2 linked regions of the Rattus norvegicus genome follow. The protein of the gene in region 1 purifies or fractionates together with the protein of each later gene. This does not show direct contact. Links are inferred from orthologs where the notes say so. Each region holds a gene or a part of one and is shown on either strand. Other genes may lie near its edges.

The links.
Region 2: the proteins of Rnf185 (region 1) and Tmub1 purify together in Homo sapiens (affinity purification with mass spectrometry; 5 studies listed by BioGRID and IntAct, with this or other methods). This does not show direct contact. The link is inferred for Rattus norvegicus from reciprocal best matches to the Homo sapiens genes RNF185 and TMUB1.

The regions. Positions count from the first base shown.
Region 1 is NC_086032.1:82,549,664-82,555,664, reverse strand, and holds the start of Rnf185 (E3 ubiquitin-protein ligase RNF185), read left to right. Parts: upstream 1-2,198; 5' UTR 2,199-2,305; exon of another isoform or gene 2,306-2,376; intron 2,377-2,688; exon of another isoform or gene 2,689-2,981; intron 2,982-6,001. UniProt on the Homo sapiens protein: E3 ubiquitin-protein ligase that regulates selective mitochondrial autophagy by mediating 'Lys-63'-linked polyubiquitination of BNIP1.
Region 2 is NC_086022.1:11,619,801-11,625,513, reverse strand, and holds Tmub1 (transmembrane and ubiquitin-like domain-containing protein 1), read right to left. Parts: upstream 3,584-5,713; 5' UTR 3,532-3,583; intron 3,401-3,531; exon of another isoform or gene 3,320-3,400; intron 3,160-3,319; exon of another isoform or gene 3,018-3,159; intron 2,522-3,017; 5' UTR 2,492-2,521; coding exon 2,106-2,491; intron 1,833-2,105; coding exon 1,481-1,832; 3' UTR 1,017-1,480; downstream 1-1,016. Other genes in the region: Fastk (fas-activated serine/threonine kinase), read right to left, coding at 620-701. UniProt on the Homo sapiens protein: Involved in sterol-regulated ubiquitination and degradation of HMG-CoA reductase HMGCR. Involved in positive regulation of AMPA-selective glutamate receptor GRIA2 recycling to the cell surface.

The DNA of each region.
Region 1 (6,001 bases):
GGTCCTGTCTTAACAGCTGAGCCATCTCTCTTTCCTTCCTTCCTTCCTTCCTTCCTTCCTTCCTTCCTTCCTTCCTTCCTCCCTCCCTCCCTCCCTCCCTCCTTCCTTCCTCCCTCTCCCCCTCCCTCCCTCCCTCCCTCCCTCCCTCCCTCTCTCTCTCTCTCTCTTTCTCATACACTCTCTTTCTCACACACTCTCTCTCTTTCCCTCCCTCCCTCCTTCCGTCCCTCCCTTCTACCCTCTCTTTTGGTTTTTTTTGAGACTGGGTTTCTCTGTGTAGAACTTGCTGTCTTGAATTTGCTCTGTAGACCAGGCTAGCCTCAAACTCACAAAGATCTGCCTACCTCTGCCTTCTGAGTGCTGGGATCAAAGGCATGCACCGCCACCACCTGCCCTTTTCCATATCTCGATTAAGCAATCTAATTCTATCCCATGCCTAGTTTAAAAGATGTGAGTTTTTCTCCATCTCCTGGCAGCTGTTGGCGTTTTCAACTAGCCTTTATTGCTTTCCTCAAACTCTAACAAAGTTATCCTTGGGCTTCCTTTTAGCCCCTTCTAAATTCTTGTATAAATAATACCAAAGAACCCCCAAGAGAATCTTACTTTTTCCAGGAACAGAAGGAGAGGAGTACTCTGACGGTCCCCTTGGGTCCTCCACAGAGGAGCTAAAACTAGAGACTGATAAGGTCATGAACTCTGGAGAGAGGGTGCAGGCTCACCTGCCACCTTTGGGCTTTCACACTAGCAAGCTGAAAGCCATCCGGTGCAGGATACTTTAAGGCTGGTGTGCCAGCCCCACCTCAGCTTGCACACAGGGATGCTACCACTCCTGCTTGTCCAAGGCCAGGATGGAAGATCCCTCTTGTTCTACAGAATGAGGTGTGCCTGCTCTGTATCCCCCACCCTCACTCCCGAAAAAGCACAGCTGCACGGCAAAGGCATTCACCTGCACTGAACTAACTTTTTTTATACATTGAAAGTTAAAACATCAATTTTTCTAGTCACTTTTTAAATATAAAAAAAATGCACTTGCTACTGTAAAAAAAAATCCCTCTTTGGTCACAAGCTCATCTAATCAGTTTTAAAATAAAATAGTTTTAAAATAAATTAAGATGTATTTATTAAGTGTATCTGTACACATGTGAAGGTCAGGTGATAACTTGCCAGACTCCTTCCCCCCGGTGGGTTTCTGGGGATTGAACTAGAATTGACAGGTTTGGCCTCAAGCATCTTTACCTGCTGAACCAACTCACGGGGCTCCAGTTAGTTATACTCTTACTATCTTTATTATTTTGATACTGAAAATTCACGGACTTGGCTAGTAGAGTCTTCAAGAGAGCTGTGTCGTTTTACCCATTCCCATTCATCACCACTGTTAGCGTTCCTTCTAGGCTCCGCCCACAGTTACCTGGCAACAGCCAGGTGTGCCTGGCTTACTATAAACGGGGCTGTTCGCCCCTTCTCTCCTTCATAGTCTTTGCTCCTTCTCTCCCTGGCCCCTTTCTCCCCTTCTCTCTCCCTCCCTCCCTCTCTCCAAGCGTCCCTGCCCGGCCTCTTCTCTCTCCCTCCTCCCTTCCCAACTCCACTTCCCATGCCCTAAATTAACTATTCCAAACTATATCCGTGGTATGGCTGGTGCCTCACGGGGAAGAGATGCCTAAGGATGGGCCCGCTGAGGCACCCTTCCCACCTCACCAGCGCCTCTACCAAAACATATCCTGGCCTCTTTTTTTTTTTTTTAAATAAAACAGAACAACCACTGCCTACATTCTAATACAAGGCATTCTAAGCTGGTATCTCTAGGACTTTTTTTTTTTTAAAAGCAAGGAAGGAAGCCCTTTCCGCCCATTTTTTTGCGACACGGTCTCACGTATCCCAAGCCTGCTTTGAAAACCATATTGAAGTTCTGATCCAGCACCCGAATGAATGATGTGATTAACTGGAGTGCAAACACACATTTATTCCCAAGTCCTCACGCAGGCGAAGCAAGCAAGGCCACCCATTGAACTACTTTTCCTCCTCCAGGAAACACTGGGAAAAGGCCGAAAGCCCTCCCCTTCCTGTCCCGGGGCGGAACTTAAGAACCCGGCGCCTGGGCCGGAACGCAGTGCTGCCACACCAGCCTTTTCCGGCTGTAACCGGAAGTTGCTCTAATAGAGGTGGCTCCTTGTCAGGTGATCAAGATCCGGGTAGGAGGGTTCGGAGGTTCAATCTTCCTGACTGACGCGTCTCTAAGACTGGCTTGTCCACTGTGGGACAGGGGAACGGACTGGTGGCGTCGCTGGCGCTCGCTCTACGGGGACAGGTACGTGACGAGCTAGGACGGCGGGCCCGGGAGGCGTGGGACCCCCTTCCGGGGCTCAGGGACAGAGGCACCTGAAACCAAGGATCAGGAGACAGCTAGTCTGGCTCTGTCCAGGTCCCAGAAGAAAGATCAGACTGGCATTCCTGGGTACAGATTGGGCAAACTAGGGCCCAAGAAAAGGGAAGGGCGCGCTCAAGCTCCTTGCCAGGCAGGGGCTCGCCCTGACTCCCTCTTAGCCTCGGGGGCGGGACTGTCTCACGTGGGTAGTTAGTGATTTGGTTGAGTGGAGAGATGAGGAGCTTGGTGAACAGATTTGGGATGAAGCGTAGGAGACCTGGACTTGAGTTCGCTGCTAATTGTGCGTTCTAGGCCAAGTCCTTTACCTCACTGAACCTAGTTTCCACACTTGTCCAACCGGGCACTGCTTCTCAAAGCATGATCCTTAACAGCGCCTGCTCTGAAATCCTCTGGGATGCGGGCTCTTCAGCCCTGGACTTTCCCGACAGCTTGTTTCGAATCTGGGTTTGGATCCTAGGAAACCTTCTTTTGAATGTTCTCCTCGGGAGTCCTATACCTACTGGTGTTTCATCTGAAATGCTGTCCCGCTGTGAATGCGGTATTCGATTCGAGGCAGCTGGAGCCCGTTGGAATCTTTGAGACTTCTAGCTTAGGAAAGAACGCCGGAGGAGAATAACTATCTTTAAAAGCTGGCGCGGGGTGGGGGGATTGGGTGGATGGGTTATATCAAAGAGGGCTCCCGCTTAATCTTTGCAGCTGAAAGAGATACAGCTAGGATTAAATAGGTGGGTTCTAGGGGAAGACAAATGTGTACATAGTAATAAGAATTTAACGGAAGACTTATCAGAGGTGACCACTGATAGGATTGACTGTCTCCTTGTGAAAGAAAGTATACAGGAGGTGGTCCTTTCCAATTCGAAAGTCTTTTATTCTGAGTATTTATTGTGAATCTATCTTTCCATGGATAACTCTCTCTTCGGAATGTTTGTGACACTTCTTTTGTGGTCTGAGACAGGATATCGAAGATCTCAGGCTGTCCACAAGCTCCTCTTGCAATTCAAATTGGCCTTGAACTTCTGATCCTCCTGCTTCAGTCTGGAGTGCTAGCATCTCTCGTTACTTAGTACCATTATGCCTGTTGAATGTGACATTTCTTTGTTTGCCTTTCTTGAGCTCTCCTCCTTAGTCTCTATCTCTTGTCAGTGAGGCCAGCACACTTGATCTTATGTAATCTTTTCCTGGTTGTCACATTTGCCATCCTTTTCAAGGACTTTGGAACGACTCATCTGATAAAAAGTATCTGAAATGTATGTCGTATTAATAAACCGGGATCCATTGCATTGGTTAGTAATTTTTTGTTTCATGTTTAATTTTTTTTTTTTTTACTTTATTTTAAGTCAGGCTCTCACTCTGACACTCAGCCCAGGCTGAGGACAATTTAGGTCAGTCTCTGTTTGCCTTGTCTGTGTCTGTGTCTCTGTTTCTGTCCCTGTCTCTCTCTCTCTCTCTCCCTCTTACTCCCTCCATCTCTCTCTCCCTTTTCCAGAGTATCAATATGTAGCCCAGGGTGACCTTAAACTCATGGTCTTCCTGCCTTAGCCTCCCAAATGTTGGGATTGCCCGTGTTCCCCAAGGCTCTGCTTGCCAGTGAACTCCGATTACAGAATGGATGTCTGACTGCGGTTGTTTGGGTCAGTCTTCTCCATGGTTTATAAACTGAACTTTAATTCTTTCTCTAGCAGTGTGTGTACAGATGTGAGAGAATGTCTGCAGTTTGTAAGCTAGCTATACATCCAGCATATATGACCAATTCTTTTATGGCCCTGACTTGCACACCTAGACTTTTCTAATCTAACATTAGATTTCCTTACTTTGCACTTTACCAAACACGAAGTAGATCTCTTCCATTTCCTGATAGAGTACTTAAGAATGCTTATGTTGTCTGGAGAAGCAAAGGTTCCATATTATGACCCGATTCTGCTGACACTTCCTCCACAAAACAAAAGGTTGGGGCTGATCCAAAAGTTCTTGCCTGTTTTCCTGTTGTTTATGTTTCTCAAGATTGAAAAACAAAAGTTGTGAAACGGTCATTCAGTTGTTACCTAACATTCAAGATAGTATGGCCTTAGACTCAGGTGTCCTCAGTGGTGAGGAGAATACTCTTAATTTGTTGGATTTTAAAACTTATTAATTTGAGAATTTCTTTTAAAGGGACACTTGATATAAGTGAAAATGGGATTTGGTGGTAAAAATAAGTTCAGGAAAAGCTACTGACCTTTATCCTTTCTTAGTGTTTTAATGCAAGTACCACATTAAAGGCACGGAGAGTTCTCACAATAAAAATTTGGGGCTTTATAATAAGCTGGCATAATAAAATGTTTTGCTTGCTTGGTGTTACCAAATTTATTTGGTATAGAACCTCTTTTTTTATATCCTTAGCCCAGGGCCTTCCTTCGTAGTATCCAGGGTGGCTTCAGACTCCTCTCCTGCTCCAGCTTCCTAAGTACTGGATTGCTGAGGTGGCTCCCACACAGCGTTACTTTTATGTTTTGTTGTTGGTTTGTTTGTTTGTTTGTTTGTTTTCTTTGTCTTTTTGTGTGTTTTCCAGACAGAGTTTCTCTATGCAACAGCCCTGGCTGTCCCGGAACCCTCTTTGTAGACTAGGCTGGCCTCAAACCCATAAAGATCTGCTTACCTCTGCCTCGACAACACCAAGATAAAAGGCATGTGCTCTGTATTTTTTTATTGAAAAATGAGTCAGCAAATTCTGACCTGAAACTTTGGCTTGTAGGCCAAATCTAGCCTTATGGCTATTTTTTCACATAGCCTCAAAGCTAAGAATGACAGCCGCCCCCCCTCCCTCCACACACTCCCAAACCCCCGTCCAGGCTGATCTCAAATTTGTGGTGAGCCTATTGTCCAAGTGCTAAGATTACAGGCATATATCATGCTTGCCTGGCTTTAAATCTCTGGTGTTTGAGGGAGGCTGCGTATGTGTGCACGGGCACTTGTTTGCTTTCTGATCTATTTACCTATTTACTTTTTTTATTTTGAGCCAGAGTCGCCCCTTGAGCCTAGTGAGGCTGGCTGGCTGGCAAGCTCCCAGGATCTTCCTGTCTCTTCCCTCGTCCTCAGTGATAAGGCACAGATATGTGTTGCAGTGCCCAGCTTCTACCAGTGCTCTGGGAGTCTGAGCTCGGATCCTAATGCTCGTGCAGCAGCTCTGACCAGTCAGCCATCTTCCCATCGGGAACTAAATTGAAATAATAATCCCAGCACTTGGGAGGCAGAGTCAGATGGATTTCTAGAGGCCAGTCTGGTCTTTTGAGTTTCAGGGCAGCCAGAACTACGTAGGGAAACCCTGTTTCAAAATCTTAAAACCAATCAAACAAACAAAGCAAGCATACATACATACATGTATATACACATGCATACACTCTCTCGTGCTACTGATTTACATCTCCCTCATGGCTGGCAGTATTGAGCATATTTTCATGTGCTTGCTAGCATCTGTACATCTTATCAGCTTTTTACATTTATTTGATTTTGTTTGTGTGTGTACATGTGCTATAATGCATGTGTGGAGGTCTGAAGAGAACTTGCGAGAGAGTTAGTCTCTCTTGCTGTTTGAGTTTATAGGGATCGAACTCAAGTTGTCAGGTTTGACAGCAAGCACCT
Region 2 (5,713 bases), on another chromosome or scaffold:
ACCCTGCCCCTCTCCCCCCACATTCCTTAAAGTAGAAGCCCTAATTCTTTAAATGTGCTCAGTGCAACTCTATTCACATTTCACATGCATATCTCCTTCGATGCTCCGTGCACGCTGATGAGGAGTAGCAGGGCTGGCATTACCTCATTTCACAGGTGGAGAAACAAGGCCCAGAGCGGCGGAGAGGTTAAGCCCGAGGTCATTCAAAGGGCTAGTGGTCGCACCCAGCCTGGAGCCCCGGTGGTCCCGGCGACGAGCCCTGCCGACCACCTCCCCCTCCCGCAGGAGGCGGCGGCGGGGTGGGTGGAACGCAGGCTCTGCAGCGGGCCGGTGCTGGGTCCCATGCTGGGCGCTCCCACTTACCAGCTGCGTGACCTTGGACTAATGTCTTCGCCTCTCTGCCTAAGCCTCCAAACTAGTGAAATGAGAACACAGCGCAACCTCGCAGGGCGCGCGCCGAGCCCGAGTGAGCCGTCTGCCAAGGCGCGGAGCTGATGCTGTCCGCGGGAGGGGCCCCCACACCCTGTCCCGGCCCCAAGAGGCTAGCAGTCCGTGGCCTCCACCACTAACACGAGCTCCCGCCGCCCAACCGAGGTCCGCCCCGCAGGCGCCACCCTACATGACTCCCCGGACCCCGCGTAGGTCACTCTCTCAGCAGGTCTCGGGGCCCGGGAGCCGGGCTCCCCCCGGGGCCTCCTCATCAGCGGGCCACTGAGTCCGCCATCTTCCCAGCAGCCCCCGGATCGTCCCCAGACACCAATCGCAGCCCGGCGCTAGGGAAGGGGAGACGTGGCTCCCGGCAGGCGCTGCGAGCAGAGGAGTCTCGAGCCCCGCCCTCCGCTTCCGGGAAGTGAGCATGTCGCGGGGGCGGGGCCACAGAACTTGTCGTGAAAGATGCAAAGAGCCGCGGTCCGCTGTCCAGCCCTGGGGTAGCTTGCGAACACAGGATCTAGGGCAGGTGCCATTTTCCTAGGACAAGGGCTCCCCACCCTCAAGCCCCACACAGACACACTAGGTGTGAAAACATCACAGTTTCTTTAATCTCCACAAATTCCAGAAAAACAACTCTCCCCCCCCTCAATTCCCCTTCGCCAGTCTTCACCAGTTTCCAATTCAGCCTAGGCATCTCTTTGAAACTAGATGTATCTTGATCCTCTGTCAGCACACTAAGATGGGCCCATTGGGGTGGTCTGGCTCTGTGCCAGGCCAAGGCAGCGGCAGCAGGTGCCTGATTCAGAAGAGCCCACTGTCAGAGAAGGCTGAGGGCCAGCAGCCCCAGGAGATGGCCCAGAGCTATGAAGATCACATGGGGTGGCCTCCGCTAACACCTGGAGTCCTCTGTTGCGCAAGGCTGGGCTCCAGGGTAGTGGGAAAAGACAGGCAGCGGGTGAGGTGGGCCTGGGCAGACAGCAGCTCCCTTTGCGCCTTGGGGAATGAGGTCCAGAGGGGCCGTCGACACTGCCAAAAGCCCGTGGAGGCACTACGGGCGATACATGGCAAAGGCCAGGAGACTGAGGAGCAGGGTGAAGCCGGCCAGGCCCAAGGTAGCGGTCAGGGGAAAGAAGGGCCGGTACTGGATCTGGCAGTACCAGAGCAGGAGCAGCAGCAGAAGCAGCAGGGGCAACAGAAGGCTGCCGATTTCCAGCCCGGAGGGGCCGGGCTCTGACCCCGGTGGGCAGGGAGGATGCGGGGGACCGACTCTTGTGGACACGTGGCAGTGGAGAACGCAGTTGGGGGGAAGGTGGAGACTGCCCAGTGTCTGGGTGTCGTCTCCTAGCAGTTGGCCTTGGTAGATGAGTCGAACCTGCTGTTCCCGGCCTGGAAACTGGGTTCTGAGGAGAGAGGGACCTGGGTAAGAAAGCAGGCCTCAGGCAATCCTGGTCCTTTGTTCAGAGAATCAATCCCAACTTTCACCCCTGCCCTACATCGGACCACCCAGATCCAGGCCTCTGAGGGGCTGATTGGAACAGGTTAACAGGTATGGCATGTAATGTGAGGAGACAGTTTTCTCAAACAGAAAAATGAGGGAGAATTTCATATGGTGGCCCTTCAATAGTCACCCACCCCATTTTTAACATTTTGTTCTCACCCTTTTCCAGGCTTACCTTTTCAAGGAGCCAATGGTGTCCTGAGGCCAGGCCCTGGCCACCTGTTCAGAGTCATTGAGAAATTTCAACCGTAGCAGTAAGGGTTCCTGTGGAGAGTCTGGAGGTGTTGATGCTGTGACCCCTGCCTCAGGCTCTGGCTGTGCAGATGGACCTCTGTGCCTCAGGCTGGGACTCTCAGCTCCTGGGGCCTCCTCTCTGATGCTATCAATGGCTGTCATGGCTTCACTGGGCTGTGCTGGTGTTGTGGTCCCTGACGACTGTGGTAGGGGATCTGTACTCTCAGTCGTATGTGTTGAGACCCAGGCGAGGGCCAGCACCAGAAGGCAGGCAAGCACCGAAAAAAGGACAGTCACCTCATCCCCTACGCCTTCAATCAAGGCCATGGCACCTGTGTTGCCAGAGGTGCTAAGGAGCTAGAGAGGTACAAAGAATTGGTGAGGGGCTGCTTTCTGGTCAGGAGTCATCCCAACTTCAACTGTCCGAGTTAGTCTACATTCTTGCCCACTCAGGATGAGGACTGGTCCAGCATCCTGTAGTCCCAAACTTGCCTTTTGGGTATGTCCCTTTCCATCACCAAGTTCCAAGACCTAACTTTGCTATCTGAGTTCTAGATCTTCATTCAGCTCCTGATTAACCCAAACCCTACATTCAAGAAAGGGCCTTGGGCTGGAGAGATGGCTCAGTGGTTACCAGGACTAGCCAGTTGCCTTTCCAGAGGTCCTGAGTTCAATTCCCAGCAACCACATGGTGGCTCGCAACCATCTGTAATGAGATCTGATGCCCTCTTCTGGTGTTTCTGAAGACAGCTACAGTGTACTCATAGATAAAATAAAGAAAGAAAGGGCCTTGCTTTTCTAACCAACCCTCTCCTTAAATTTAACCTTCATCAAACTTTACCCAAAAGCTTACCTATTCTTTGGTCCACTTCATCCCAAAGTTCACTCCTTCACCTATTTATAGTAAAGCTCATCTGACGCCCTGACTCCTAAGTTTCTCCGACAGAAGAGTCTCTATACCTCCCTGACTTCCCCCTTACCATCTACCCAAACCTCACCCACAACACAGACCGCTTTCCAAAGCTTCCTAGACAACCCCAAACGTCAAACTCCGCCCTTGGCCAATCTGGAGTCTACGGAGCTCAGTTGCCTACTCAGCTCGGCCCCTTCTCCGGGTCCACCCAAAGCCCATCCCGCAGCAATCCGACTCAGCACCTCCTGGGCGCCAAACCCAGAGGCCTCCAGACCCTTGATCTCTCGGGGCGAGCCTAGATTTAGCCTTCCCCACCCCCGACTGCTCCATCACTCCTCCCATCTGCCCGCCCCCCAGAGCTACTGGAGGGCACCAGCGATCTCGGGGCGGGGCAAGCAGGTCCCAGCTGTGGCCTGGGGCGACCGGGTGGGCGCGGCCACGCACAGAGACTCACCGCCCAGCTCCACCAGCTCCATTTCGGCTCCTCGGGCACTTCCGGGCCGAAGGCACCGAGGTCGCAGACACCTGAGGTCCCTCTCCTTCCCTGCTGCCGCGGCCCGGGAGCATTGTGGGGATTGTAGTTCGCCCTGTTTAGTTCCCGCCCTCCGCCCTGTGAACCCACGTGCCGGAATGGACCAGATGTTCCCGGTACCGGTAGATCTTCGATGCCCACGCGCCCCCACCCCCCGCCCTCCCCCTCAGAGAGGACCCAGGGGTTTTGCTTGTCCATAGAAGTTTGGTCAGCAGCGCAGCAAGAAACTCTATTTCCGCCGCCAGCTACTGGAGCATCTGTCACTCCTGACACCAACGTCAGTCTGCAGCACGTCAGAGCATCCGCGTTGGTGATACAGTGATGAAGGCTTTGGGGAGCGCAGGTGGCCACTACCCCAGTCTAGCCTGTATCACAGTGGACGTCAGAAAGCAGCTTGGTTTTCTAAACTGACTCTAGTCGAGGAGGCGTGAATTGCCCTCGCCACTTGCTAGGGAAGAGTGCCTGATCCCGGCTGTCTCCTTTTCTGGCCTGACCTCCACTGTGTCCCTATGAGATTGTAAAAGTGGCATAGACCTTGGAATAGAGCATACATCCTGAGGTCTCACGTAGACTCATCAGCTATAAAATGTCTGGTGGGTTATTTAATCTCTGAACAAGTATAATTCTTCTAGGTCAGTTGGAAAGAAGAAACGTAATGTTTTATTAAATAAGTATGACAGCTCTGTAAAATATATGTCACTATATTTTGCTCGCCTAGTATTAAAGCATCGGGTTCACCAAAACCTAAACTGAGAAATTGGCTAAGTATGGTGGCATAGCCCTGTAATCCCAGCACTGGGAGGTTGAGGTAATGATTAGGAGGTTTGAGACTACCTTTGGCCACCTAGAGAGACCCTGTCTTATTCCCCCCCACCCCTAAAAAAAGTGTTTCTGCATATAGCGATGGATCTGTGGTAGCTAATCTCTGTAGATTTTTCCTTGACTCCAGTAACTACAGAAATCTTGAATCCCCAGTTTTACAGACCAGCTTTTTTTTTCTTTTTCTTTTTCTTTTTCTTTTTCTTTTCTTTCTTTCTTTTTTTTTTTTTTTTTCGGAGCTGGGGACCGAACCCAGGGCCTTGCGCTTGCTAGGCAAGTGCTCTACCACTGAGCTAAATCCCCATCCCCGCAGACCAGCTTTTACTTGGGAGTTTGTGCATGCATGTATGTGTGTGTGTGTGTGATGCATACATGTGAGTGTACACATACAGGACTGGTCTCTGCTCCCTCTGCTAAGGTTGCAGGCAGAGGCTTCCATGCCTGGCTTTTGACATGAATACTGAGGAGTCAAATTGAGGTCCTTATGCTTGCAGAACAAGCCTCTAATTATTCTTTTAAAAGGGGGTTTGTATATTATATCTGCATGGGTGTTTGCCTAGAGTGATAGGCAGTTTTTAGGAGCCATGTAGATGTTGGGAACTGAATCAGGGTCTTCTGCAAGAGCAGCAACCGTAACAGGTACAGTCAGTGCTCTTAACCTCTGGGCCATCTCTCCAGCCCAATTCAACCCAGTCTGAATTAAAAATACTCTACTCTGGTCTTCTATGGATGGTGCTTCTGTTTAACTACTTCAGTTTTCAGATTAAGACCAGATCAAATATTGCCCTGGGCACATCAGTTTGGGTTTATAAAGTAAGTAACTAACTTGTCTCTAGTTTTTTCGTATTTCTTCATTTATGCTATATTTAAATATATATGTTTTATATGCTAGGTATTGTGCAAGATACTGAACATATAATGTTTTCCGTGCCTTCACTGATACATACACTAATAGAGGAATAGATATGTAGGCAGACAATCGATGAATGTTAAAGCAGGCAGGTGCTGGTGCCTGGGCAACACTTTGGAGCTTTTCCCCTTCAAGAAGTTCTGGGAGAACTTCTTCCTGCCAATTCTATCTAAGCATCTAACAGAGACGCTATGGGTGTGTGGGTTTGTTTGAAGTTTTGTTTTTGTTTTTCAGGATGGGGTTTCTATATGTAGCCCTGGCTGTCCTGGAACTCTTGATGTAGAGCAGGCTGGCCTTGAACTCACAGAGACCACCTACCTCTGCCTCCTCAGTGCTGGGATTGAAAGCACACATCTGCACCACCTGGCCAGAGTA